7 linked regions of the Mus musculus genome follow. The protein of the gene in region 3 interacts with the protein of the main gene of each other region in a pairwise test. Links are inferred from orthologs where the notes say so. Each region holds a gene or a part of one and is shown on either strand. Other genes may lie near its edges. The genes, in order: 2510002D24Rik, Sall2, Cep76, Akap7, Dzip1l, Ttc21a and Cabp5.

The links.
Region 1: the proteins of Cep76 (region 3) and 2510002D24Rik interact in binary tests that used the Homo sapiens proteins (3 or more experiments, as listed by UniProt). The two-hybrid records come from large-scale screens. The link is inferred for Mus musculus from reciprocal best matches to the Homo sapiens genes CEP76 and C22orf39.
Region 2: the proteins of Cep76 (region 3) and Sall2 interact in binary tests that used the Homo sapiens proteins (3 or more experiments, as listed by UniProt). The two-hybrid records come from large-scale screens. The link is inferred for Mus musculus from reciprocal best matches to the Homo sapiens genes CEP76 and SALL2.
Region 4: the proteins of Cep76 (region 3) and Akap7 interact in a two-hybrid assay, tested with the Homo sapiens proteins (3 studies listed by BioGRID). The two-hybrid records come from large-scale screens. The link is inferred for Mus musculus from reciprocal best matches to the Homo sapiens genes CEP76 and AKAP7.
Region 5: the proteins of Cep76 (region 3) and Dzip1l interact in binary tests that used the Homo sapiens proteins (3 or more experiments, as listed by UniProt). The link is inferred for Mus musculus from reciprocal best matches to the Homo sapiens genes CEP76 and DZIP1L.
Region 6: the proteins of Cep76 (region 3) and Ttc21a interact in a two-hybrid assay, tested with the Homo sapiens proteins (2 studies listed by BioGRID). The two-hybrid records come from large-scale screens. The link is inferred for Mus musculus from reciprocal best matches to the Homo sapiens genes CEP76 and TTC21A.
Region 7: the proteins of Cep76 (region 3) and Cabp5 interact in binary tests that used the Homo sapiens proteins (3 or more experiments, as listed by UniProt). The link is inferred for Mus musculus from reciprocal best matches to the Homo sapiens genes CEP76 and CABP5.

Annotation. Positions count from the first base shown.
Region 1 is NC_000082.6:18,835,414-18,839,379, forward strand, and holds the start of 2510002D24Rik (UPF0545 protein C22orf39 homolog), read left to right. Parts: upstream 1-1,166; 5' UTR 1,167-1,182; coding exon 1,183-1,206; intron 1,207-1,292; coding exon 1,293-1,460; intron 1,461-3,676; coding exon 3,677-3,802; 3' UTR 3,803-3,966. UniProt on the Homo sapiens protein: Negatively regulates long-term potentiation and modulates adult synaptic plasticity. Stabilizes the interaction of RTN4 isoform A/Nogo-A with its receptors, inhibiting clustering of postsynaptic AMPA receptors at synaptic sites.
Region 2 is NC_000080.6:52,313,524-52,317,760, reverse strand, and holds the start of Sall2 (sal-like protein 2), read left to right. Parts: upstream 1-1,437; 5' UTR 1,438-1,651; coding exon 1,652-1,718; intron 1,719-2,097; coding exon 2,098-4,237. UniProt on the Homo sapiens protein: Probable transcription factor that plays a role in eye development before, during, and after optic fissure closure.
Region 3 is NC_000084.6:67,627,856-67,631,355, forward strand, and holds part of Cep76 (centrosomal protein of 76 kDa), read right to left. Parts: intron 2,093-3,500; coding exon 1,964-2,092; intron 1-1,963. UniProt on the Homo sapiens protein: Centrosomal protein involved in regulation of centriole duplication. Required to limit centriole duplication to once per cell cycle by preventing centriole reduplication.
Region 4 is NC_000076.6:25,294,280-25,298,551, reverse strand, and holds the start of Akap7 (A-kinase anchor protein 7), read left to right. Parts: upstream 1-1,472; 5' UTR 1,473-1,624; intron 1,625-1,815; exon of another isoform or gene 1,816-2,654; intron 2,655-2,660; exon of another isoform or gene 2,661-4,091; intron 4,092-4,272. UniProt on the Homo sapiens protein: Probably targets cAMP-dependent protein kinase (PKA) to the cellular membrane or cytoskeletal structures.
Region 5 is NC_000075.6:99,664,031-99,667,530, forward strand, and holds part of Dzip1l (zinc finger protein DZIP1L), read left to right. Parts: exon of another isoform or gene 1-1,684; coding exon 1,685-1,824; intron 1,825-3,500. UniProt on the Homo sapiens protein: Involved in primary cilium formation. Probably acts as a transition zone protein required for localization of PKD1/PC1 and PKD2/PC2 to the ciliary membrane.
Region 6 is NC_000075.6:119,947,606-119,951,105, forward strand, and holds part of Ttc21a (tetratricopeptide repeat protein 21A), read left to right. Parts: intron 1-2,995; coding exon 2,996-3,093; intron 3,094-3,214; coding exon 3,215-3,415; intron 3,416-3,500. UniProt on the Homo sapiens protein: Intraflagellar transport (IFT)-associated protein required for spermatogenesis. Required for sperm flagellar formation and intraflagellar transport.
Region 7 is NC_000073.6:13,396,694-13,400,954, forward strand, and holds the start of Cabp5 (calcium-binding protein 5), read left to right. Parts: upstream 1-1,461; 5' UTR 1,462-1,614; coding exon 1,615-1,677; intron 1,678-4,011; coding exon 4,012-4,042; intron 4,043-4,261. UniProt on the Homo sapiens protein: Inhibits calcium-dependent inactivation of L-type calcium channel and shifts voltage dependence of activation to more depolarized membrane potentials. Involved in the transmission of light signals.

The sequences.
Region 1 (3,966 bases), on a different chromosome or scaffold from region 3:
CTTGGAGTGGAGCTGGTCAGGCCTAGCAAGGTCCTCATGGAGGGTGCACTTTCCCTCTATGTTTGTAGTTCCAGAGTGTGTCCATTTGCTCTTAGAAATATCCATAAACTTAATTGGCTCCTAACTCTGGCACATACATCATTACTGGCCAAATGTGGCTCTGGAAGGCATAAATGCTGTGGTAACCTGCCCGACCTGTCCTATGGGGCTGTCTCAGTTTCCCTAGCAGTAAGACAGCTTTCATTTGTAGGATTCTGTTAGCTAACTTGGTCAGGCTGGAAAGAGCTCAGTTAAGCACTTGTTCGTGCAGAGGATCCAGGTTTGCTTCCCAGCACTCACATGGTGGCTCATAGCCTGTAATTATAACTGTAACTCCAGTTCCAGATGATCTAAGTATATGTGTTGCACATACATAGTTATACACACAAGTGCACTAATAAAAATGTGACTGCATGTGTAGATAAGAGTACAGTGCTCAGGAGTCCCTTCTGTCGCCTAGAAGGATCAAACTAGGAGGGATCAAACTCGGGTCCTTGGTTCTGTTCACAAGTTTCTCTACAGCTGAGTCATCTCACCTTATGATCTCCAGTTAGGTTTTTTTTTTTTTTTTTAAATTGTTTTTGTTGTTGGGTTTGTTTCCTTTTTGAGACAGGGTCTCACTAATATATATATATATATATATATATATATATATATATATTCCTTTCTGGTCTAGAACTGACTCACTGAGATGTCCCTGCTCTTGTTTCCTGAATGCTGGGATTAAAGGTGTGCAACCCTGAGCCTGTCACTTCTAGGAGAACTTCTTTCACCCTTAGTCATCCTGCACTGCCTTCCTCCTCTCCATACACCAAATCAAGCTCACCTACACTCTGTGTATGCTCAGGCTACATACCTGCAATTTCAGTCCGCCAGGTGGGTTACTCAAGAGTTCAAGAGTCTGTACTTCAAAAACTGAACCACATACGGATTTGAAAAATAAAAAACTGGGAGAACTGACCAGAACTCCTGTTTTTTCCGAATGCTAATTAATACCTTATGTGACTTTGAAGCCAAGCCATCGGCTAGACACCAGGTAGTGTGGCCTCTGACTATCAGCCACTCAGTGCAGACGTCCTGTTTAGTGCGCGTTTGCTTGGAGCTCATTGGTTCATGTCCCTGTCAGTCACACGGGGCCTGGACATGGCGGTCGCAGGGAGCTGGCAGGTGAGTGTGCTTGGCTCCTGGGCTCCTGGGCTGGGTGGGATCAGGCCCTGGGGGCTGCCCGCGCTCTCCGCTGTCTCTCCCCGCAGCCTCCCCGGCCGTGCGAGGTCTACCGCGCCGAGTGGGAGCTCTGCCGCAGCGTCGGGCACGTCCTACACCACTACTACGTCCACGGCAAGCGGCCGGATTGCAGGCAGTGGCTCCGCGACCTGACTAACTGCCGCGAGTGGGAGGAGAGCCGCAGCGCCGAGGCCCAGGTGCGGGCTGGGTGTGGATGTATGCGCAGATCCTTGGGGCAACTCTCTCGTGTTTCTCTCCTGAGTACCAAACTGCGTTATCAACGAGACTTTAGACAGCCTCAGTTACGGGGTGGGGCGGCGCGGGGAGGGGGGCGCAGAAGGAAGGGAAGTATAGAGAGGCTTGGAGAGAGTAACCTTATAGCGTTAGAGTCATCAGCTTGACAGCAAGCTTGCCTTCACCCAGCCCTTGGGGATAGGACGGAGGAAGAGAAAAGCCAACGTGTCTGGAGCACGAGGGTGGGCTATAGAGGGCATAAGAATGAGTCCAAGAGCACCTAAAAATGTTCCAGTACTTGTGAATTGAGTTATCTTTGGCAGGTCAGTCTGGACCTGAGAGTGTGAAGGGTACTGTAGAGGACAGAGACAAGTATGGAGGCTGTTGCTGGACCTTTTCGAGGGAGATGTGAAGAAACCTCTACTTACTCTAGATAGCCATGTAGACATGGCGAAAGTAAAAAACATGGCGGAAAGCAAAAGACTGGAAACTTAACTGTCTGTAACTATATGTCAGCTATCATAAATTAGTGTAAGAAACAAAGATGTTTCTGAATAGAGAAATGGCCAGGGTCATGGAGAAGCAATTCACCGGGAAACTCAGAACACAGAAGCAATTATTTCTTTATTTTATTTTTATTTTTTTTTATTTATTTTTTTTTGTTGTTGTGATTGAGACAGGGTTTTTCTGTATAGCCCTGGCTGTCCTGGAACTCACTGTAGACCAGGCTGGTTTTGAACTCAGAGTTCCGTCTGCCTCTGCCTCCTGAATTCTGGGATTAAAAGCGTGTGCCACAACCACTAGGCTTCTATATAGTTTTTAAAGTACTTTTATTCTTATTTTATGTGTGTTTTTCCTGCATATTTATCTGTACCATGTGAATCTACTGCCTGAGGGTCCTCTGGAACTGTAGTTTCAGATGGTTGTAAGCTGATGTTTGAGTGCTGGGAACCGAATCCCAGTCCTCTGGAAAGCAGCCTCTAACTGCTGAGGGATCTCTCTAGTCCTTACAAGCCTTTTTAAAAAGTCTTTGTGTGTGCGAGTGCGTGGCATGCGTGTGTATATATGTGCACACATTGCATGTAGAGAGACCCTCTGTTGACATTAGGCATCTTCCTCAGTCACTTCCCACCTTATATACTGAGGCAGGATCTCTCTGAACTTGGACGTCTCCATCTCCTGAGTGCTGGGACTACAGGCATTCACCCACATACTAGGCCCCTATTTGCTTCTTTGTTTTGTTTTGTTTTGTTTTGTTTCGAGACAGGGTTTCTCTATATAGCCCTGGCTGTCCTGGAACTCACTCTGTAGACCAGGCTGGCCTGGAACTCAGAAATCCTCCTGCCTCTGCCTCCCAAGTGCTGGGATTAAAGGCGTGTGCCACCACTGCCCGGCTCCTATTTGCTTATTAAGTAATAATGATCATGTGATCATGTTAGAGATGGGGTCTGGCTGTATAGCCCAGGCTGGTTTGGAACTTCAGATCCTTTTGGCTTTGTCTGCCAACTGTTGGGAATACTACCGCTCCCAGTTTAAGAATGTTTGTAAAGAGGCCTACATAGCACCTGACACTTTGCCAGGATCAGCCCTGTCATAATACACTGTCTAGTGTCTGTTGGCAGTGGCTGAAAGAAGCTGGCAGGATGGGGGGCACCTTTTACACATACCCTGTGCAGAGTCCAACAGTAATTTTAGACGCTCTCCCTCTCTTCCCCACCCAGTGTCCTCACTCCCAGGCTAGGCGGGTAACTAGCTCCACACTCTCCAGGTCTGCTGTTGCTGAGGCTTAGCGGGTTTTGCATGGCTGAAGGCAGAGACTGAACATAGTTGTGCATGCTTATAATTGCGGCACTCGGGAGGTGGAGACAACAATCTCAGAATTGAAGGTCATACATAGTGATCTTGAGACCAGCCTGGGCTACTTGAGACCCTGTCTAAAACATGTCCAAAGAACACAAAATAAAACTGCTGAAGTAAGATGACCGGTGTGTGCTAAAACAGAACAGTTGCCAAGGAGTGTGGTATAGAAGCAGCTGAGCCTGTGTGTACCATGTGCTCCCATGTGTTCCTCTCTTCAGAAGAGTGTTGAGGAAGAGGGTGATATAGGTGCCATGCAGCAGTACTAAGAGCCCTAGGATCCAGTGGTGAAACAGTAAGTGACCAAGTCTCATTTGTACAGCGATCCCTCTGTGAGAGCGAGCAGGTTCGGGTCCAGGCTGCTCAGAAGCACACCTTGGTATGGGCCTTGAGGCAAAGGCCCCCTACGGACTGGAACCTCCCTCTACCACAGGAGAAGGACAAGTGATAAGCAACTGCAACCCTACCCTTGACCTAGACTTTGACTGGCTCTTACTTGACCTGGAACACAGAGCAAAGCATTTCCAGCCCTAATTGCCTGCTGCCCACTGGATCTGGGCATTTCATCACTGTAATACTCTGAAAGACACCTGTGTGCACATGCTGGAAGCC
Region 2 (4,237 bases), on a different chromosome or scaffold from region 3:
CCAAGACCTGAGATCACTTTTTTTTCCATGTAAAAATACGGGATTTGGGGCTGGTGAGATGGCTCAGTGGGTAAGAACACCTGACTGCTCTTCCAAAGGTCCAGTGTTCAAGTCCCAGCAACCACATGGTGGCTCGCAACCATCCGTAACAAGATCTGACGCCCTCTTCTGGTGTGTCTGAAGACAGCTACAGTGTACTTACATATAATAAATAAATCTTACAAAAACAAAAAACAAAAAACGGGATTTTGCCGGGCAGTGGTGGCGCACGCCTTTAGTTCCAGCAATTGGGAGGCAGAGGCAGACGGATTTCTGAGTTCGAGGTCAGCCTGGTCTACAAAGTGAGTTCCAGGACAGCCAGGGCCACACAGAGAAACCCTGTCTTGAAGAAAAAAATAAATAAACAAAGGATTTTAGGAAGTAGGGGACCCTTTAAATCTCAGTTCAAGGAAGAAAAAGAATGCAGAATACCTGGTCTGCGGCACCTTATCCCTACTTACTCCCTCTGAATAAAAGGCAGGGCCCGATGGAGGTGAGCAGGTGTCAGTCTTGTTTAGGAATTGAAATCCGCTTGGGGCCCGTTAGGAGCTTTGGATCCTGAGCTGCAGACAGTGAAAGCCCATTCCGCATCTTCCCCATTGTTTCAGAAGGAGCTCCCCTCCCCCCAGGGTTGGAGCTGGGTGGACCTCCTTAGGCCTTTGTAAGCTAATATCTTATTTAATTGTCCGCATTAGGGACGGGGTGGGTTGGAAAGAGGGTACCGAACCGGAAAGAAGGGCTTTTTTAAAAGTAGGAACTCTGCATTTGGTATATGGCCAGTGGCCTGTGGACTAGCTTGTGTTGAACTCTGGGGGAAGGGCTTGGTGTTCCTCAAGAAGGGGCCCTCAAATGACTCCCTTGGGAATTCTATCTTGCAATCCACCCCCCTCCCCAAACTTCTTTTGTGAAGAGAGATGAGGGTAAGATGGGAGTAGGGGTGAAGAGAAAACTTGAGATCATTCTGCGGTGTGCGAGCTGGTAAGGGGTGGGTGTTTGAGGCTGCTCCTCCCATTCTTGTCCTCCGACCTCTGAGGCGAGCTGAGCACCCTTTGGAATCCACGTTTTCCGAGCTCAGCAGATCCTTTATCCAAAGAAAAATTACTGAAGCCTATCGCCTTAATCTATTGAGCGGGCAATGTTTCCCACTGTGGGCTTGAGGCTGACCCAGTGGAAGCAGCTAGGATAAAGACATCTGGGGTGGGGAGCTGGCAGAGGATAGGGCACAGTGGGCCCCTAAGGTGCCTCACTGACACCTGACCCAGAGCCGGAGTAAAGCTTCCTAGACTTGCCCCCTCCCCGCTTCCCCCCTCCCCCCTCCCCCCCGCACTCTCCGCTCTCGCCTCCTCCAGCTTTCGTCTCCCTCCCTGGCAGCTTCTCCCCCACAAACTCTCCTCCCCCATCTCCCCACTACCAGCTTTCGCGCTCCAGCTCCTCCCCTCCTCCGCGCCTTCTCGCTTCCCTCCCCCCTCCGCCGCTGCTCCCTGCCCCCGCCACTGCCGATCTCCTCCGCAGTCTGGGTCGCTGGGTGCAGAGACTGCCGCAGCGCCGGCGGCCTCCCCAGACCGGATACCCATTGTGTCCTAACCCATCCCGCCTTCCACTTCCCACGGCCATGGCGCAGGAAACCGGGAGCAGCTCTCGACTCGGGGGACCCTGCGGGGAGTCTGCGGAGCGCGGAGGTGCGGTAGGGCCAGGCTTGGGCAGAGATGGGGGCCTAGGGAACACTCGTGTGTAAGGACTTTAAGTGGGCGGATAAAATGTGTGATTCTGCACATAGGCCCCAGGTCTCGCATCCATTCTCACCCTTCCTGGGCCAGAGGAGGGGGAGGGGTAACGGAGGAGGCTGGGAGAGTGCGCGCCCTATCCCCCAACCCCCGTTTTGCTGGGTGTCCAGGAACCACGAGAGTCGGATCTGTCTGAGAGCTAGCTTCCTGCAGGGTCTGACTGTAAGCTTAAATTCCGACCCTAACCGGAGGTTCCTGGGCCGCCCGTTCTTTAGAGCCTCCGTTATCCAACACTGTGGCATTACCCACACTTTTCTCCTTGTCTTCTCCCCAGGTGATGCTAGCGAGGAAGACCACCCCCAAGTCTGTGCCAAATGCTGCGCACAATTCTCTGACCCGACCGAATTCCTCGCTCACCAGAACTCATGTTGCACTGACCCACCGGTAATGGTGATAATTGGAGGCCAGGAGAATCCCAGCAACTCTTCAGCCTCCTCTGCGCCCCGACCAGAGGGCCACAGTAGGTCCCAGGTCATGGATACAGAGCACAGCAATCCCCCAGATTCTGGGTCCTCTGGGGCCCCGGATCCCACTTGGGGGCCAGAGCGGAGGGGAGAGGAATCTTCTGGGCAATTCCTGGTCGCTGCCACAGGTACAGCGGCTGGGGGAGGTGGGGGCCTTATCTTGGCCAGTCCCAAGCTGGGAGCAACCCCATTACCTCCAGAATCCACTCCTGCACCCCCTCCTCCCCCACCTCCCCCTCCCCCTCCAGGTGTAGGCAGTGGCCACTTGAACATTCCTCTGATCTTGGAAGAGTTGCGGGTGCTGCAGCAGCGCCAGATTCACCAGATGCAGATGACTGAACAAATCTGCCGCCAGGTGCTGCTACTTGGCTCCTTGGGGCAGACCGTGGGTGCCCCTGCCAGTCCCTCAGAGCTACCTGGGACAGGGGCTGCCTCTTCCACCAAGCCCCTACTGCCTCTCTTCAGTCCCATCAAGCCAGCGCAAACTGGCAAGACACTGGCATCTTCCTCTTCGTCATCCTCCTCCTCTGGAGCTGAACCGCCTAAGCAGGCTTTCTTCCACCTTTACCATCCACTGGGATCACAGCATCCCTTCTCTGTAGGAGGGGTTGGGCGGAGCCACAAACCCACCCCTGCCCCTTCCCCTGCGCTGCCAGGCAGTACGGATCAGCTGATTGCTTCACCTCATCTGGCATTCCCAGGCACCACCGGACTCCTGGCAGCTCAGTGTCTTGGGGCAGCAAGGGGCCTTGAGGCTGCTGCCTCCCCAGGGCTCCTGAAGCCAAAGAACGGAAGTGGTGAACTGGGCTATGGGGAAGTGATCAGTTCCTTGGAGAAACCCGGTGGAAGGCACAAATGCCGCTTTTGTGCAAAAGTATTCGGCAGTGACAGCGCCCTGCAGATCCACCTTCGTTCCCACACTGGTGAGAGGCCCTATAAGTGCAACGTCTGTGGTAACCGTTTCACAACTCGGGGCAACCTCAAAGTACATTTTCACCGGCATCGTGAGAAGTACCCACATGTGCAAATGAATCCACATCCAGTACCGGAGCACCTAGACTACGTCATCACCAGCAGTGGGCTGCCTTACGGAATGTCTGTGCCACCAGAGAAAGCAGAAGAGGAGGCAGGCACACCAGGCGGAGGTGTTGAACGCAAACCCCTAGTGGCCTCCACCACAGCACTCAGTGCCACAGAGAGCCTGACACTGCTCTCCACTGGCACAAGCACAGCAGTGGCTCCTGGGCTCCCTACTTTCAACAAGTTTGTGCTCATGAAGGCAGTGGAACCCAAGAGTAAAGCGGATGAGAACACGCCCCCAGGGAGTGAGGGCTCCGCCATCGCTGGAGTAGCAGACAGTGGCTCAGCAACCCGAATGCAGCTAAGTAAGCTGGTGACGTCACTACCGAGTTGGGCACTGCTTACTAATCACTTGAAGTCAACTGGAAGTTTCCCCTTCCCTTATGTGCTAGAACCCTTGGGGGCTTCGCCTTCTGAGACCTCAAAGCTGCAGCAGCTAGTAGAAAAGATTGACCGCCAAGGAGCTGTGGCGGTGGCATCTACTGCCTCGGGAGCTCCCACCACTTCTGCCCCTGCACCTTCCTCCTCCGCTTCTGGACCTAACCAGTGTGTGATCTGTCTTCGGGTCCTGAGCTGCCCTCGGGCTCTACGCCTGCATTATGGCCAACATGGAGGTGAGCGGCCCTTCAAGTGTAAAGTGTGTGGCCGAGCTTTCTCCACAAGGGGCAATTTGCGCGCACATTTCGTGGGTCACAAGACCAGTCCAGCTGCCCGGGCTCAGAACTCCTGCCCCATTTGTCAGAAGAAGTTCACTAATGCTGTCACTCTGCAGCAACATGTTCGGATGCACCTGGGGGGCCAGATCCCCAATGGGGGTTCCGCACTTTCTGAAGGTGGGGGAGCTGCCCAGGAAAACAGCTCTGAGCAGTC
Region 3 (3,500 bases):
GGGTAGCACTCTAAGAAGGTATGGCCTTGTTGGATGGTGTGACATTGGTGGAGGAAGTGTGGCTCTGAGACTCAGGGGCTCAAGCCAGGCCCAGTGTGGCATTCTCTTCCTGCTGCCTGCCAAGGTAGCGCCCTCAGCTCCTCTCCAGCCCGCATGCTTCCTTCATGTTTCCCATCATGACAATAATAAACTTCTAAAACTGTAAGCCAGCTCCAATTTAATGGGTTCTTTAGCCGGGCAGTGGTGGCATATGCCTTTAATTCCAGCTCTTGGGAGGCAGAGGCAGGTGGATTTCTGAATTAAAGGCCAGCTTGGTCTAGTAAGTTCCAGGACAACCAGGGCTACACAGAGAAACCCTGTCTCGAAATACAACAACAATAAATGTTTTCTTTATAAGAGTTACTATGGGGGGCTGGAGAGATGGCTCAACAGATAAGAGCACTGACTGCTCTTCTAGAGGTCCTGAGTTCAATTCCCAGCATCCACATGGTGGCTCACAGCCATCTGTTATGGGATCTGATGCCCTCTTCTGGTGTGGCTGAAGAGAGTGACAGTATACTCACATACATAAAATAAATAATAAATCTTAAAAAAGATAGAATAGGGTTGGAGAGATAGCTTAATGGTTAAGATCACTGACAGTTCTTCCAGAGGTCCTGAGTTCAATTCCCAGCAACCACAAACCATCTGTAATAGGTTCTGATGACCTCACATACATAAATAAATTAATCTTTAAAAAAAGAAAACAAAAAAACCAGCATTAAGTACCACTTCTATGACTCCGCTTGCTATGAGAGCTGAACAACCCTGGAGCTCATACAAAGGAGGAAGGAAAAGAACCATCTTCAAACTAGCCTTTGACCTTCACACGTGCACGGGGCATGTGCGTGGTCATATATCATTTACACACATTAGTACAAATATACATGAAATATTTTTAAACAATTATAGTAAGTGCAATAATTGTATTGCAAAGTGTATAATCACTATGTCTGAGCCAGTGACCAGAAATGTTTGCAGAATTTGAACTACAAATGAAACCTTGACTTCGGTGCAGTTTCATGCCGATGAACGTATTAGCTTGAAAGTGCCTTTAGTACAGCTGTCCTGCCCTCTGTTGTAGCTTAGAAACACAATACACTAAGGAATATCTGTTGTTTACCTTTGATCTGGTGACACACTGAAGCTGTGGCTGCCTAGCATCAAAAAATTGTACATGCCACACATTACTAGTCTAGAAATCAAAATTTATAGTATAGTTTCTATGGAATATATATAGGTATCACTTCTGAGGAATAGATCAAATAGTTTATATTCACCTCATCATATATATAACACCTACAGTGCTAGATGTTTTTTGACATTAAGTGTCATAGATGATGTCTTAGGGTTTCTATTGCTGTGAAAAGATACCATGACCACAACAACTCGTTTATTTATTTGTTTGTTTGTTTGTTTATCTGAGTAAGCTGTAGCTGTTATCTTCAGACACACCAGAAGAGAGTATCAGATCCAATTACAGGTGGCTGTGAACCACCATGTGGATGCTGGGAATTGAACTCAGACCTCTGGAAAAGCAGTCAGTGCTCTTAACCATTGAGCTATCCCTAGGGAGTTGGAGAGATGGCATCCACATGGTGGCTCACAGTCATCTGTAATGGGATCGGATGCCCTTTTCTTGTCTGAAGACAGTGACAGTGGGCTCATATAAGTAAGTAAATCTTAAAAAAAAACAATAGCAAAAAACTAACATAAATATCCAAATGTTTAATCAAGTATTATGAAAAGGTATATTCCAAGTTAACAAAAACTGTTATGCCACCAACCTACCCAATAAATGATAACTATTTTAGAAATAAACTTTCATTTGTGCAATGAATATATTTTTACAAATGTAAATTAAACATTTATAGCACTACATTTCAAATATAGGGATGAAACTTGTCTAAGATAATTTACAAACCTGGGCAAAAATCTTGACCAGCCTTGAGTTGTGAGAAGGTCGAATTTGCAAATACTCCCTCCACCACTGCTTAGCATAGACGAGAAATAATCGCTCTTTCTCTGCAGTTTTCTGACGTTCCAAGGCAAGCTTGAAATTAAAAAAAATAAATTAATTAACAATTAAATGTCTATAAAATGTCCTCAATTACCAGAACAATCTACTGTTCTCCATTGCTGTTTCTAACTTAACCTGAACTACATACTCTTCTGCAAACAACTCAACATTTCCCGGATTGTATAATTACTTCAATATCCCTAGTCTCCATCCCATCATCCAAACGACTTTTTCCTGCACACGTGGAATTTTTTAAGTAAGGAAACACTTCAGTCACTTCCTACCATCATGAAAACTACCTGTCTAAGCTTATTATCACTCCGGCCCCCGGCTCATTTTCTCTCTCCCATCCACACAAGCCTTTTACTCAAGGATGTTGCACCCACTACCCAAAAAACACAGGCCCAATCTTGGAATTAAATACTAACATTTGTTGCAATTCAGATACGTTTGTACCCTAAAGATGTGACCTAGGTTGGCCTCCCAGTAACCATCCATCACACACCACCCTGCGGAAACTTTTCAATTTAAAACCTGTAACTGGAGTTTTGTTTTGGTTTTATGAGACAGGGCTTCTCTGTGAAGCCTGGCTGTCCTGGAATTCACTTTTAGAGCAGGCGGGCCTTGAACTCAGAGATCCGCCTGTCTCTGCAAGTACTGGGATTAAAGTCATGCACCACCATACCCAGTTTACAGCCAGCATTTTGTTTCCTCACTGTCTCCAGACTCCTACGAATAAGCTGCTATAAATGGAGCATGGGAGCACATGCTTTTAATCCCAGCACTCAGGAGGCAGAGGCGTGGATCTCTGTGAGTTCAAGGCCAGCCTGGTCTAGGAAGTTCCAGGTCAACCAGAACTATATCAACAAAAGACCCTAAAAAAACCTCATATGAATGTGAATATGTGTGGGATGCAGATGCCCAAGGAGGCCATGTGAGTGACTGGACTCCTTGCAGTTGAGAGTTGCAGGTAGCTGCCTCAAGTACATGGTGCTTTGTTTTAGAGATTTGTTTATTTTATGTTCATTACTGTTTTTGCTTTCATGTATGGTTGTGTGAGGAGCCATGTGCCCTGGAACTGTAGTTACAGATAGTTGTGAGCTGCCTTGGGGGTGCTGGGAATTGAACTTGGGTCCTCTGGAAGAGAATCCAGTGCTCTTACTCACTGAGCAATCTCTGCTGGGATGATCTTTGTGTGCAGTGTATAAAGATGGTCTTTAGCCGGGCATGGTGGCACACGCCTTTAATCCCAGCACTTGGGAGGCAGAGGCAGGTAGATTTCTGAGTTCCAGGCCAGCCTGGTCTACAGAGTGAGTTCCAGGACAGCCAGGGCTACACAGAGAAACCCTGTCTCGAAAAACCAAAAAGAAAGATGGTCTTTGTATTTATCAAATGCTGATTTCTGTGCCAAAGAGAGGACTTCAGTATTATTATTCGTATA
Region 4 (4,272 bases), on a different chromosome or scaffold from region 3:
TTTGCGATTTTCTTTTTCTTATCAAAGGTCTCTGGGCTGTCCAGCCTCTGGTTCCTGGTCATGCTGTAGTATCAAGCATGGGCTTCCTTTTGTGGCGTGAGCTTCAGACTAGAGCAGTCACTGGTTGGCCACTCTCCCAAGATCTTTGCCTCCTTTGCCCCAGCACATTATTTCAGACAGGGTAGATTGTAGGTGAAAGGTTTGGGGGCTGGGTTGGTGTTCTGGTTCCTCCACTGAAGTTATATCCCAAGGCTAAGGATTACACCACAGATGTGTGGTTAAAATAGAAACACAGCGCTTTGGTTTTGTTTTGTTTTTAAAAGGAGGGAAATCCAGGAGTGGGCTCTTGAGCTGAAGGAAGACACCTCGCCCCCAAGCATCAGACCACACATGAGGTGCAGAACCCACGTCTCCCAGGTCTGTAGCGTCCTTTGTGAAGCCCGAGGAGGGGGGAGTGGGGGTAGTGCTCTACTCTTTGCAAACTGGCTGTCAACCTTGCTGTGTCAGTGCACTGCTCCTACTCCCCAGTTACATAAATACACCTTTAAAACAGAGTGGGGAGTAATCCTTACAAAGAGAAATGTATAGTCTACTTCCAGCAGGAAAAGGGAGGGCAAAGAGTTGTTTCTCTGTCTACTGCGTAAAGTAATCCTTATGCTTAAACGTCTTATCTGTACCCTGTCCAGTCCAGCTAGCATCGGCTGGCCTTTGAGGATCCTCTTGCCGCAAGCTCCCTTACTTATTTTTCGTTCTTTCTCTGTGATTAGATAGCCTGCTCCTTTAAAAAGACCGTTTTCCGTGAAGATCCACAAAAAGGGGCTAAGCAGGGAATTCTTCAAAGTTCCCTACCAGCTTTAAGGGCTACAGCTGTGGAGAAGAGACACACCACCATATTTTCTTAAATTAAAATTACATTCCCCAACAAACCAGCAGTAATACCACCATTTGCCCCCAGCCCGGAAAAAAACAGTAGCATTCTTTTCTACAAGACATATTCATATTTTAACTATTAAAAAAAATAGTTTTCTCTTATTTTATTCAGATACTGAGGAGCCTTGCCTGCAAAAAATTTGTAGATGATTTCATTTAACAATTCCAACTTTTAGCTCTTAAACTGCTGTTGAAAATGCTACTTTTGGGGGGGGGGTAATGGCAAGTAAATAAAAGCATCTCATTATAGCGACGTTCAAGGTCTCGCTATTGTATTGTACATTTTGCTCAGCCCGCCTATTTTGCAATCAGATCTGTGTTTCCAAAGCTCCACGCTAAAGCAAACACACGGGTTCTCAAGGGACAGCGGGCCAAGGAATGCTCTCTGGATCCCTGGCTCGCCCCTCCGAGCGTGGGACGGGAAGGGCCGCGCCGCAGGAAATAACCGAGGGCGGCCAGAGGTCGGAGCCCGAGCCCAGCACGGCCCCGGGGACCGCCCCGATCCGGGTATCCACGCCTCGCCGGGCCGGCCCCTTCCGGCTCCTCCTGAAGCGGCGGGTGCCGGGGATGCTGCGACTCGCGGGGCGTTGCGCCTCCGCAGGCCTGGCCGCCGCGGCCCGCGCCCCCGCCGTCCCGCGCGCCCCGGGCCCGCGCCTCCGTCTCTGCGCCGCGACCATGGAGCGCCCCGCCGTGGGTGAGAGCGCTCCGCCCTGCGCGCCCCGGGGCGGCCTCTGCCGTGGGGCGTGCTCGCCCGCCCCGCTCCGCCTCCCAGGCCGCCCGCAGCCCCACGCCCCTCGCGATCGACCCTCCCCCTACACCCTGGGCATCCCGGTCCAGCCCGGTAGTCCGGGCAGTTTGGTTGCATCCGTGGGTCTCCGTGCACCACTCCACTCCTCGAACCGAAAGGGGTGTACACACAAGTTGTTGTTTCTCTTACCTCTTCCTATCTTGTGACCCATGACCCAGAGTTTTGCAGCACATCCTTTCCTACTGTGTTGGGGAGGTTAACAAAATCAAGGGGGGAAAAAAAAAACTCCGTTTTATTTACCTAATTATTTTTTAAAATGGCAAATAGAAGCCTCTGAACACTGTCTTGTCTCATTTAGGGTTTTACTCGAGGCTTGGCAAGGCACACTTTAAAACGGGCGCCAATCTGCTGGCGCCCAGGATGTACTTCAGCTTGGGTCAACTTTCGTTGTATGCTGAACCTGGGTAGGAATTAGAGGTTGGACTCGGAGGGAAAGGGACTGGGAAGTAAGGGGAAAAAGGTGTTCTACAAGAACACCTACATGTATACAAAGCGTAAGAATATTAAAATAGGCAGTCCAAGCATGCTATGTAAATACTTTATATGTATGTAAATATAAATCAGGTGAATAATGTACATGCGTTTATAAATTTCATGTGAATGCAATTACTCGTATCACGTGAGGAGATGCCCAGAGTGTCCCTGCTTGAGATGTTTTTATAAGGTTACAGGAGTGTGGGTAATAGGCAGAAGGGAATAGGGTAATAGTTGGAAAGAGAGGACTCTTCTCACCTTTTTACACCGTGTGGCTTTGCAGTTTGGGATGCTGTTAGCGCATCGTTTCCCTATAGTGACAAAGCTTATGGCACTTGTCCAGTTTACTGGGTCCTTCCATTCATGTAGTGTCGATTTGTCAATTTCTCCTTAATAATTTGGATTGCTCCCTCTTCATGAGGCGCAAATGGAAGCACACTGGGTAAGTGGCCTGGTTGGCATGAAGTTTAAACATTTCTGGAGACCTACTCTGCTGTTTTACGTAGCTAGTCGAAGTAGATAGACCGTAATGAATGACAGGCCCATTCCATAGCTGTTTACAGTGCTGGGGAACCAGAAGAGAGTCTTGCCCAATGAAGGTGTGTTTTGTTGTTCAGATAGGAAACTTACTTTGTAGGACTTGGGCAGTCTGTCTGTCTGTCTGTCTGTCTTTTTTGTTTTCTGTTTGCTTGGCTTTGGTAGTGTTTGCTGAAGTGTCCCTGTGATCTGAGGATTTGAATGCATTTACTTTCTTGGCTTGAGAAGATTCTTTACATACATTCATGGTTTTTCTTACAAAAGCAATATTCACTTTAGAAACAACCTAGTACAGTGGTTGGAAAGTATTTGGCATTCAGAAACACTTCAGCTTTTATTCTTCCTTTCCTACCCGTACGTCTTGGGAACATGCAGTTTTCTAGCTACTTTTTGACTTATGCTTGTTTTTGTAACACTGGGGATAAAGCCTAGGGCTTTGTGTATGCTAAGTCAGCATGACCTTGACTGCGTATCTGCTTGTTAGAGAGTCGCCTTTCCCCCTGTTGTTAGACTCCTCATACCGGTGGTTTTCAGTCACCAGAATGATCATGCACTGTTTAGTTGTTTCTCTGTTAGACATTTAAATTAGTTCCCCTTTTCTCTTTGCTTCAAGCAAGGTTGCGAGGAGGCCTGTTTGAGTGTATGTGAGAGGAACCCAGATTTCAGTAAGACATTTAGGCCATCTTCCGTGCTTCTCACCTGTTGACCCATTGCTTCCTGCCTCAGTTTACAGTGCTGCCATCAGTATATGGTAAAGAGTGATTCTGGAAACTGTGGGTCATGTGACATGTTCACGTGATCCGAATGTTAGCTCCTGAATCTACTTTACTTGTGGGCAGGTTCCTAAGTCGGTGCCTGGTGTAATACTAGTCTTCCCTATAACAGAGTTGTTAAGGTTTAAATGAGTTACTTAGCAAAGTGCGCGTGCCTGGCATAAAGTACCCATTACAATGTTGGCTAGTAATGCTGGTAATGCTAATGTCTAATTAGCAAAACTAGTAATTCTAGTATTGCTAATTTCCAGCTTCACGTCATCATTATTAGTGTAACCTTTACTCCCGTGATTATTTGGATTTTTGGAAATGATACACTTTGTTTTAGTGACAGACCAAATTTTGGGTGACTTTAAAATTCTTTGTGCCATGTGGCTCAGGCTGAGGGTAGCCTTGAACTCTTCACCTTCCTGTCTGTGCCTCCCTGGGATTGCAAGTGTGACCTAACACGCCTGGCTTACACACTTTGACATAGCTTGATGTACTTTGTAGAGTTGAATCTCAGTCTGGTACGCAGCAAGCAAGAGCTCTCTCATGGTGGTAGATCCCGAGCTCCGTTAACTTTACAGGTGAGACAACAATCTCACTAAATTAGTTGTATAGGTTTGTTTGTTTTTTTAATTTATTATTCTGCCTCAACTCTTTAAGTACCTGGGATTGCAGGTCTGTGCTACCAGGCTCAGTTTATTTAAGCAACATTACAGCAGCCAAAACAATGAATTTGTGCTTTAAATCTTAAAGATCGACTGT
Region 5 (3,500 bases), on a different chromosome or scaffold from region 3:
TCTGTGTGGGAAAGAAAATGTTGTTTGACATTTGCTTGGGAGACAAACAGGATGCCGGCTGTTGATGAAAATGGCTTTATAGTGACTGAAGCTGAGTTTTCCGGTAGTTGGAGTGACTTGTTCTTTAAACTTACCATGCTCTATCTCGTAGGGCGTCACGATGAGGAGTTGAACCTTTCTCTTCTCAAAGTAATGGCATCTGCCCCCAGCCTTTCAAGGTTCGCTTATAAAACCCACCAAAGGAAGTGATGCTCCTGCTTCAGGCTGTGTTTCTCCGCCCAGGTGGAGAATGGGGCGCTTACAGTTTTGACATTGCAAAGGAGAAGCGAGGGGAGCCCTGGGGTTTGCAGTCTGTAAGCGCCTCCTTATCTTAGTAGACTCCGAGATGCTGCTTCATGCCCGCTGCATAGTCCAAGCCTGTCAGCCTGTGAGAAGCCACCAGGGTTAGTTTTCTGGATGGAGCCTTGCTGCCTTAGTGGGCGGGCTGGCAAGATGATGGAGCTGGGAGATCATGTGTCTACTGATACAGTTTGGCTGTGTTACCCTCTGCTTGGCCTTGTTCGAGGATTCTGGTTTCTCTGTTGTAAGAGATGACATATTTTAACAAGACAACTAATAAGGAGGTTGAGGAACTCGGTGCTTGGCACAGAGTAGGAATTTAATAAGCATTTCTGTCTTTTAAAGACTCATTTTTAACTATGTTGCAAGTCTGTGTGCAGGTATGTGCAAGTGATGCAGATGGCCCCGTGGAGGCCAAAGGAGGGCGCTGGAATCCTTGAAGCTGGAGTTGTGGGTGGTTGTGAGCTGACTGATGGTGGTAGCCAAGCTCAGGTTAAATGAGGTAGACCCTCTTAACCACTGGGCCATTCAGCCCCGGGAACCACAATGATCAATCATCCAAGGGCTGTTAACAGCTCCAAAAGTCTGCAGAGATTCTTAGCGTTTGAATCCAGGGAGCTGGGTGAAGTTCAGGCTATGCTTCTCCATCATCTTGGTTTACCATGAGTGTGTGTGTGTGTGTGTGTGTGTGGCTATTGATAATCCGAGTTACTGGTTAACACCTGCTTCCTGTATGGAATTCACAGGAAGTGAATCTAATCCACTGATTAGATCGGAGCCCTATGTCTCACAGGCACGCCCCTGAGGTGTGCTCTACTAATTCCCTAGGCCATTTCCAATCCAGTCAGCTTGACAAGGTTAGCCATCACACATTGCCTGACATGCCAGTCTTTGTAGTTCATGCATTACAGAATTACAGGAATTAAACGGAAGGCTGGCTCTGCCTTGGATTCATTAGAGGGTTGGTCTTTCTAAACCTCCGCCAGCAGCCACGTCCTAACTCAGCACAGTTACATGATGAAGGCGGGTTTTTTTTGTCTGTTTGTTTGTTTTGCTCTATCACCTGTCTGTCTGTCTGTCTGTCTGTCTATCTAAGTCTCTTGAAACCAGGCTAGTATTAGCCTGGACCATCTCTATATTTTTTTTTCTCTGTGGGGGAGGGGAGGGGCTTGTCCTTTCTTTTTCCTCTTGACTCTCTCTCTCTCTCTCTCTCTCTCTCTCTCTCTCTCTCTCTCTCTCTCTCTCTGTCCATCCGTTCACACTGGAGCCTAGGTGTGGCCCAAAGGGACTAAGCATTCACTCTCCAGGTTTGCTCCACTGACCTGGTTCCTTGTCCCCTTCCCAGGAACACTGGTGCAGTCAATTGTCAAAAACCTTGAGAAGCAGCTTGAAACGCCAGCCAAGAAGCCTTCCGGAGGGGTCAATATGTTCTTAAGGCCCAACGCTGCCCTCCAGAGGGCTTCCACACCAGCAAGGAAGTCTCAGGTAGGACGCTTGGAGGTAATTCTACATCCCATGGAGAGCCAGCTCCAAATCTAAGGGCTCTGGAGTGGAGGGCTGGGGAAAGACTGAGCCAAGTATCAGTCTGATGTATCCTGAGAAGGCCACTCACTGCATGTGACATTGTCTCCTTTGTCTCTGTATACATAGAAAGATGACCACTTCGGGTTTTTTTTTTCCCTGTGGCCATGTTTAAAAAATCCCTTTGGTTCATTATATAAGTACTTCCTGAGGCGGCTCAGGTCCTAGTCTCCTCTCCCTGGGACCTTCCTGCTGTGGTTGCTATCTTCCTGTGCTATCTCTTCCATAGTCCCAAGTCTCCCCGGCCCTCACTCGACAGAAGGCCCTGACACAGGGTTAGATGTAAAACACTGTCCACCAAGGGCAGGCATCGGAGTGGTGCCACACAGCACATCAGATGGAGAAGTGTAGACCTCTGTCCCAAGTATTCAAGGGGGTCGGTGTCTCACCACTACACCCCCCGAGGGCCTGGCCTTCCTCAGGCTGTAGCTGCCATGGGATTGCAGACTTAGCACTCTTGTGAGTACCAGACTCGCCACCCTTCCCCTCCCAGGGGACAGCTGCCACTCTCTGTTATTTTCTAGGGTAGAAAAACAGAATTCTTTTTACTTCACGTCTTTCAACCAAAAAGGTTTATTTATTTATTATTTTTGAAATGATTATGATGTTGCCCCAAACAACAACAACAACAACAACAGTAGTAGTAGTAGTAGTAGTTGTGAGCAGTTGTCTTTTTAGTGTTATTGATGGCACTATCACCTGCTAGGCAGACTGTCACTGAGCAACCCCTTTAGTCCCCTACTCTTTGTTTTATAATAGCACTGTCTATCTCCTTTTTTCTTTTAATGACACAATCTTGGAGTTTATGTAAAGTTCTCCTGTCCTCCATTCAGAAACAGCAGCGATAGGCAAAACAGATGGAGGTGCTGTCTAGGCCCCGGATGCTGTCTTCTTACATGCCAGGATGAAATACGTGGAATGTCATATGTCCAAACCCAGGCAGCCAGTGGAGGTACAGAGAACCATGGACGAGAGCTCCTGGCCTGGGCCCTGTAGTCTGGATGTAGCCTAGCCCCCCCCCCCCCCCCCCCCCCCAGCAGACTTCAGTCTTCCCACTGGCTGCAGCCCAGACCCATTCTAGGCTATTCCACTCCTCCACCATCTCCTCTCACGTTTAGTATTTACCAGGCAGCTCTGACCTCCAGTCTTCAAGGAAGGGTCCTTTCAATTAAGGCCTCTCAAGAGCTTCAGGAGTTCAAGGCTCTGGGCTTCCAGTTCTGTGAATGTGAGGAGTTAAAAAATAATCTGCATTTAATATTACTCCCATACCTTTTTTATTACACATCATACTGTGTGTGGGTTTCATCTTGGAGCCCATGTAAAGATCTCTAAGTTCTTCCTCTTCCTCTGTTGTGAATGAACACTAATAGTCTAACACTCTTAATAGGTGACTGAGAGCATGCATGCCGCCCAGGTCTAGATGCAAACGTGAACAACCAGAGCGTCTGTCACAGGAAGCTCCAAGGTGCTTGCCTTGGCCTCGTTAGTAGGACACTAGAGTATCCCATCACAGTGGCCCTGAGTCTCTGGAGCAGCTTTTCAGAGGCAGGGCGTTTAAAAGGCAGGACAAGGAGTCTCCT
Region 6 (3,500 bases), on a different chromosome or scaffold from region 3:
CTCTGTGTTCTCTGGGGCACTGGGGTTTGCTTGGGGTGGAGGAAGCTGGCTCAGTGCTTGGAGCAACTGTTCTTGGCTAGCCCTGAGGGGCTGAGTATTGAGGTCCCTTGGTCTAAGCTCAGGCCTCCCTGAGAGATAGTGTAGTTATCAGAGCAGTTAAAACTTTCTGGTCAGCACATTAGGCCCTCACACCAACACCTCTCCTCCATCATCTATCTATCTATCTATCTATCTATCTATCTATCTATCTATCTATCTATCTATCTATCCATCCATCCATCCATCCATCCATCCATCCATCCATCCATCCATCTATCTATCTATCTATCTATCTATCTATCTATCTATCTATCTATCTATTATTTAGAGAGAAGATCTTTTGTAGTACGGCCTGACCTCAAACTTAATATAGCTGAAAATGGCCTTGAGCCAGCCCTCCCGCCTCTGCCCCCAGTGTTGGCATTACAGGCATAGAACATGAAGGCTTTGATTTGATTTTGTTTTATTTTATTTATTAGTGTGCATTTGTACAATGCCGTGGCACACATATGGAGACCAGAGGACATCTTTGATTTTCTTCCACCTTTATGTCGGTCCCAGGGAATCCAAGTCAGGTCACCAGGCTTATGCAGCGAGCACCTTTATCTGCCGAGCACTCTGGCCAGCCCTGATGGCATTCTTAAAAGATGACTCCAAGCTGGATGTGGTGACACATGACTTTAATCCCAGCCCTCGGGAGTCAGGGACAGTCAGATCTCTGTGAGTTTGAGGCCATCCTGGTCTACATAGAGAACTCCAGAACAGCCAGGGCCACGATAAACAAACAAGCAAGCAAACAAGGGAATTTAAAAGAAGACTCCATTGCAAGTGTGCTAGAAGGGAAAAGTGACATTAGCAGACCAGAAGTTTCAAGAACCTCAGAGGCAGACAGTGTCACGCTCGGGAAGTCCAAGCATGACTAGAAACCTGTGAGCCAACATAGGCAGGGGTGAGCCAGCCAAAGACCAAAGCTGGGCATGGTGGCCATGTCTGCCACTCCAGACCTCTGAAGACTGAGGCAGAGGATTCTGAGTTCAAGACCATCCTCCCCACCCAGAGACCCTGTCTTCAGAAAACAACAAAATGAGCAGACCAGCTTTCTCCAAAGAGTCCCAGGGAATATCAGGGTATCAGAGGCAGAGAGCAAAAGCTCACAGTGGGACAGATATCCAGGAAGTGGATTGTGAGAACATTCAAGGAGACCCTTACAGAGAACTGGAGGGAAGAGAGTATTGCCCCAGAGGACCCCTCATCACCGCCATGAAAGTCTCAGCACGGCTCAGCACACAGGCAGATCTCCTGAGGCATTCACTCACCACACTGACTCCTTCCCAGCTTCCTCATTTCAGGGAAGGCCCCGGCAGGGAACCAGAGGGAAGCCAGCTGCTTACAAGTCTGCCTCACACCAATCTGACCCAGGACAAGCTCAGCCCTTCACTTGCTGGAGTCCCCATCTCAGCTGACCCAGAGGGGCAAGTCAGGGGGAGGTGCCAGCCTGAGCTTGCAAGTTCTACCAACTACCCCAGGCTCAGTCTTTGTACTTCTGGATCTGCAAGCAGTGTGCAGGGCAGGGGTTGTCCAGTGGGTCACGCAAATCAGGGGGCCTCTAGGAAGCAAAGTCAAGCCCCAAAGCCTGGGACTTCCCAGTGATTGAAGTGAAGGGCACCATCAGCTGGGAGGAGAGGATCGTGAGTTCAAGATCACCCTCAGCTCTGTAGAGTTTGAGGCCAGCCTAGGCTTACATGAGACACCGTCTTGAAAATAATAATGATTAAAAATAAGTTAATCACCCTAGTATATAAAAAGAAACTGGTGGACATTGCCTAGTAGAGTGTCTGCCACCACCACCATAAAAAAAAAATCACCCCAAACAAAAGGCAGGGGGTGGGGTGAGGCTGCAAATAGGAAATTCACAATCTAATTAAAGTCACTAACTGGCTGGAGAGTGGCTCAGCAGTTAAGAGCACTGACTGCTCTTCCAGAGGTCCTGAGTTCAAATCCCAGCAACCATATGGTGGCTCACAACCATCTGTAATGGGATAGGATGCCCCCTTCGTGTGTATCTGAAGACAGCTACAGTGAACCCATATACATTAAATAAATAAACCTTTAAAACAATTAAAATAAAATAAAAAGTTACTAACTAAAAACTATAAAAATGTTCACTCCCCCTAATAATCAAAAGAATATGGACTAGAACTCATCCCCTGAGTGGGAGAGGGAGCGCAGGTGCCCACAGGGGTCAGAAGAGGGTGTCGGATCCCCTGAGCTGCGGTTGCAGGCAGTTTCGAGCCCTCTTGTGAGTGCTAGGAACCTGACTCAGGTCCTCTGCCGGAACCGCAGCGCTCTTACCAGCTGTGTCTACCTCCAGCTCGCCCTGTCACATTGGACTGGTAAGATTGAATGTGTCTGAGACTGGAACGAATGATATGTCTCAATTCTTAGCAGGGAAGGCAGGATGGCTGCGTGGGTAAAGTGGCCACCAGCAAGCCTGATGACCTGAGTTCAGTCCCCAGGGCCCACCAAGGACAGAACTGGCTCCCACTGGTTGCCTTCTGACCCTCACGAGTGCAACATGGCAGACATGCTCATGCGCATTGCACACACATACCCAGGGCTTCGTGCACGCTATACCCTGGACCCCCAAATGTGGATCTTTGAGTAGCTGTGTGTACATTAATAACAAATACTTAGAAAAATGTCCGAAGGGTTAAGCCCCAAGTTCTTAATGGTGGTTATCACTGGAGCTGATTTTAAAGCTAACATATGAATGAGGGATCATTGTTGTCTTCCTGCTTCCGTTCCCTGCCCCCTCTTCAGTTTGTAAAGACATGAGGACACAGCCTGGGGTGCCTCCTTCCTCCTCAGTCCTGCCCCTGGCTCTGCCGCTCTGCAGGGCTGCTGGCTCTGCTGCCTGCCTGCCTGCCTGCCCAGCTTCATTCTCGTTCATCTATAGGGAGCATCTGGTGCCAGATCCTACAGGGCCAGCTGGAGGAGGCTGCTCACCAGCTGGAGTTCCTCAAGGAGGTGCAGCAGTCCCTTGGGAAGTCTGAGGTCAGAGCTAATGGGCAAGGATGGCTGGGAGGGGGGTCTCCAGCAGAGGGCCATCAAAGTGGCCCACCTTACTGCTCGGGGCCAGCCTCAGCTCGCCTGAGCCCAAGCCTCTCTCGCACAGTTGCTGGTTTTCCTGCAAGCCCTCGTAGCAGCTAAGAAGCAAAGGCTGGAGCAGGAGGCCACGGCGCTCCTGAAGGAGGCGGTGGAAGTGCACTTCTCCAGCATGCAGGGTCTGGCCCTGAGCCCCGAGTACTTTGAAAAGCTGGACCCCCTCTTTCTGGTCTGCATCGCCAAGGAGTATCTGCATTTCTGCCCCAAGCAGGTTAGGGGAACCAATCTCCATGGCAGGGGCTAAAGTACAGGTGTAGGTGGTGCTCACATGAAGATAGAGGTGAGGGCTTTCCCTG
Region 7 (4,261 bases), on a different chromosome or scaffold from region 3:
TAATAAGGCTTCTCATCCTCCTTACATACCCAACTTTGCTCTTCCCACACAAGTATCAAGAAGGAGCAAAAGGGAGGAGATGAGCAGAGGATGAATGATTGCCATGGCTTCCATCCTATGCATATTCATGTATTAGCATCCAGTGTTATGTAGCAATTTGCTTCTGGAGAGGAGTAGGTTTATAAGTCTCAGGAAACTATCAAACCTATGAGCCTCAGGAAGCTCATGAAACTTACAAGACCAAGGCAGCTCGGGAAATTACATGATTCACAAGGGTTCCTCCCCAAAGTTATGTAAGTATTAAGCAATTTCTAGATGTGAGGGCACTCTTCAGGGGAACTGCCTGCAGGTTGTGTAGGGACTTTCAAATATACAGCATTCATGAGTCATTACCTATGATAGGCTTTTAGTGATGGGTCATAATCCATCACTCATATTCCTGTTGGCAACCTGAATGAACTCACTGGTTCACAAAGTTAGACTTGGGTTGGCTGCAAGTGCCTTATGTAGAATAAACATGTATTTATGTCTCCTTAGGAGGTCACATAACATCTGAAATCAAGTGGTTCCTTTTTATTTTTTATTCATTCTTTGGCAAGTTCCTACATGGATATAATGTATACTAAGCATATCCTCACTCACTTTCCTACTCCTTCTTGACATCTCTCAATGCTTCCCTTTCTACCTTCATATTTTTTCTCTCTCTGTATCTCTGTCTCTGTCTCTCTGTCTCTTTCTCTCAATCCACTGCTAACTAATCTTGTTCAATTGTTCTTGTTCAAATAACCATAGATGCAATGAGTGTCTGAGTGCAATGGCTGTGTCATGTTTAGAAGGCGATATTTCACAGCATGTTTTCCATATTTTGGTTCTTCCATTCTTTCACTCCCCTCCACTCCTTAATGTTTCCTGAGTCTTAAGGAAGGGGTTGATAGCAATGTCCCATTTAGGACTGGACACTCAACAAATACTTAGCACTTTGGCTGATTATTATTTCAGTATTGACAGCTACCTATTGTAGAGAGTCTTTTTTAGTCATTGTCAAAAGCAGAACTAATTTATAGGTATAAAAATAAGTATTTAGAAGGCAGTTTAGCAAAATACCTATTTAGAAAAACAACAGTATATAAGTTTCTCCAAGTGCCTGTGATCTTCTGGTATCAAGTATTGTTGCATCTTGTTCCTTTGGGCGCATGGCTGATGACCACATTCATCCTTTTAATCTTTCACTCACTAAAGGTCAGGCTTAGATGAGTGTTCAAAATGCTTGTTGGTACAGAAAATGATTGGAGGCCTCACCCTAATCCCTCTTTCAAAATGTACTATCCAATTCCATTCTGGGGATAAAAGAGTTTCAGAGGCCCACATTGGCTCCCCCTCCCATCTCACTCCAGCCATAAATGGGAGGTAGGAAGAGCTCTAATCCCTCCACTGTCTAAGTAGAATTTTCCATGAGCTGTCACAGATCTCTCACAGGGACTGAGGAAGAAGCTAAGAGAAACAGGAGGAGTTGGCAAAGGATTGAGACAATCAGGAAGCTGGGTTGCCTGCTGCAAGGAAGTAGGAAGGAGGGGCCATCTTGACATCAGAGCTTGGTGAACACTACCTGCTCCAATGCAGTTTCCAATGGGTCCTGCCTGCATCTTCTTGAGAAAAGGCATTGCTGAAAAGCAGCGGGTGAGGTGGGGATGGTGCAGAGAATGATAGGAAGATCAAGGGGGTCTGGGGCATGGGGAAAAGAAGGGGTATGCAAATGCTGAGCAGCAAGGGGAGCAGGTGGAGAGAGCACAAACTGAAGCTCAGGTAGCACTGTTTGGGCATAAGGGTCAGTGATCAGAAGTCAGAAGCAGAGGGGTATAGTGGAGTGAGACATAAAAGAGAGATGCTATGGAGCCATTGTTGACAGCATCATTGTTTCATATGGGAAATCATACAATGATGATGGTGATGGTGTTAATGGTAATGCTGCTTCTGCTGGTGGTGATGACATTGCTGGTGCTGACGGTGGTGATGAGGATGGTGATGACAATGAGGATAGTGATGGTGGTGCTGCTGCTTCTGATGATGATTATGGTGATGGTGGTGATGATGCTGATGATGGTATTAACAATAGCTATTGCTTATTAAGTCTTGCTGTTTGTCCAGTCTTGTGCAAAAGGCTTTACGTGCTTGATGGCATTCAGTCCTCAGAACAGCACATGAGGTTTGGTATAATTTCATTCCTATTTTACAAGGAAGTAAAATTGTAAACTGAGGCCATTAAGTCATGAAGTAGTTTGTTTTACGCCTATACAGCCAACATGTGTCTCTATCTATCTATCTATCTATCTATCTATCTATCTATCTATCTATCTATCTATCTGTTAATTCACTCATTTATTTACTTATTCAGTCATGTTTGAGTCTCAGTAGCATATTCTTCATTGTAAGGCCTTAAAATTACCAGAGAGGGGGAAAAAGAAAGGAGCGGTGAAAGGAATAAGGGGAAAAGATAGAAGGGAAGAGAAGAGGAGGGGACACAGATCAGGATGAGGCAAGGCATGGAAGGGAAAAATAGGGGAAGGAGAAAAGGGGAAGAGAGATGAGGGAAGGTAAGAGATTTCATGGTTAGAAAAGAAGAGAGAAAATCCACAGTGAGGTCTCCCAGAATAAGGTTGATAAGAAGTTAATTACCAGACACTATGCCTGCTAACCAAGCATACCCTCAGGTGTACTCATGATTAGGGAACAATGACCAGCAATTCCCATATGTAAGACTAAGACTGAATATTCTACGAAAACCCCTCTGAGAACTGGTTTCACACAGGAGAAGCTCACCCCAGGAATGAGGATGGAGGTGCTAGAGTCAGTGGGATGTAGCAGAAAGAATTTGGCATAGCATTCAGGAGTTCTACATCCTACTCTCAATCCTGTATCTGATCTTTGAGTGACTTCAAAGGAGTATGCATGTCATAAAAGCAGAAGAGGGTATTGTATTTGGGAAGAAATGGGATTGGAAAGAGTGGAACATGTACTATATGTGGTGGTGCCAAAGTCAGCAAAGAACAATGACATAGGTGTGTGACAACATCATGATGCAAAACTGGTTTTTTGGTGATAAAACAAATTTAGTTTTAAAGGTTGAAGTGTCTGAGTATGTATCTTAGTTGGTAGAGTTTATCTAGCACATATGAGGCCCTAGATTCAATCTTCAGTACCATACAAAGTAGGTGTGGTGGGTTGTGTCTGTAATTCTAGTGTCTGTCAGATGGAGGCAGGAGGATCAGGAGTTCTTTTTAGGTATTAGCCTGGCTACATGAAACTATCTCAATAAATATGTAATAGAATAAATAAATAAGGGCCAATGAGATAGATCAGAAGGTAAAGGGACCTGTTGCTAAATTTGATTACATGAGTTCTATCTCCAGGTTTGTGTATGGAGAGAACCAATTGCCTCAAATTGTCCTCTGATCCTTCACAAGTACTTGGCAAGTACTTGCATTTCAAAACAATTAAACAAACAAACAAATAAATAAAAGGAAAATAGAACAAATTTATTTATCTCTCCCTTGAAAGGGAATATTCTATTTATGAGCTGTGTGACCTTTGGTAGGCTCATTAAATCTTTTTATTCTTTAGCTTCTCATGGGTAAGATAAGAATATTTGAGTCTACCTCAGTGATGTGGTTCTGAGGTATAAGTATAATGACAGTACTCACACAGAGATCCCTCTGAACACAGTAGATGAGACATAATGTACTTTCTTTATCTGGGGAAAAAGTTCTTATCACAGGATGTTTGGGATAGAAAGTTGGAGATTAAGATGCAAAGGTGGGAGACAAGAAATGAGTGGGGATGGGAGAAAAGGGTCATTAGAGAAGAGCTGGGGATGGGAGTTGTATTAGAGGGAGGAATATGAAAGTTAGAGGAAGACTGTGAAGGTAAAAAAGCTTGATGGAACAATGGGGTTTTTTTGGGAGGTGGGAATTATATTTCTGACTCTTTCAATATCCTCTCCTGTGTTCTTTTCAGGAGAGACCACTGGGACAGGATGAGCTTGATGGTAATTCCTTTCTCAGATGCCCTTCCATGTAGTCACCTATTACTGCTCTCTTCTCCTGCATTTCTGTGTAAATTACCCCATGTGAAGAATGCTTTTCTCCTGTGTCCCTGATCAAATATAATCTGCACAGCACATTCTGGGTCATTTTAGGTTCTACTCCTTGAGTGTTGACAGGTGTCTGTCTCATTTGCATAAGTCACAGGGACTTGGAAATGATGC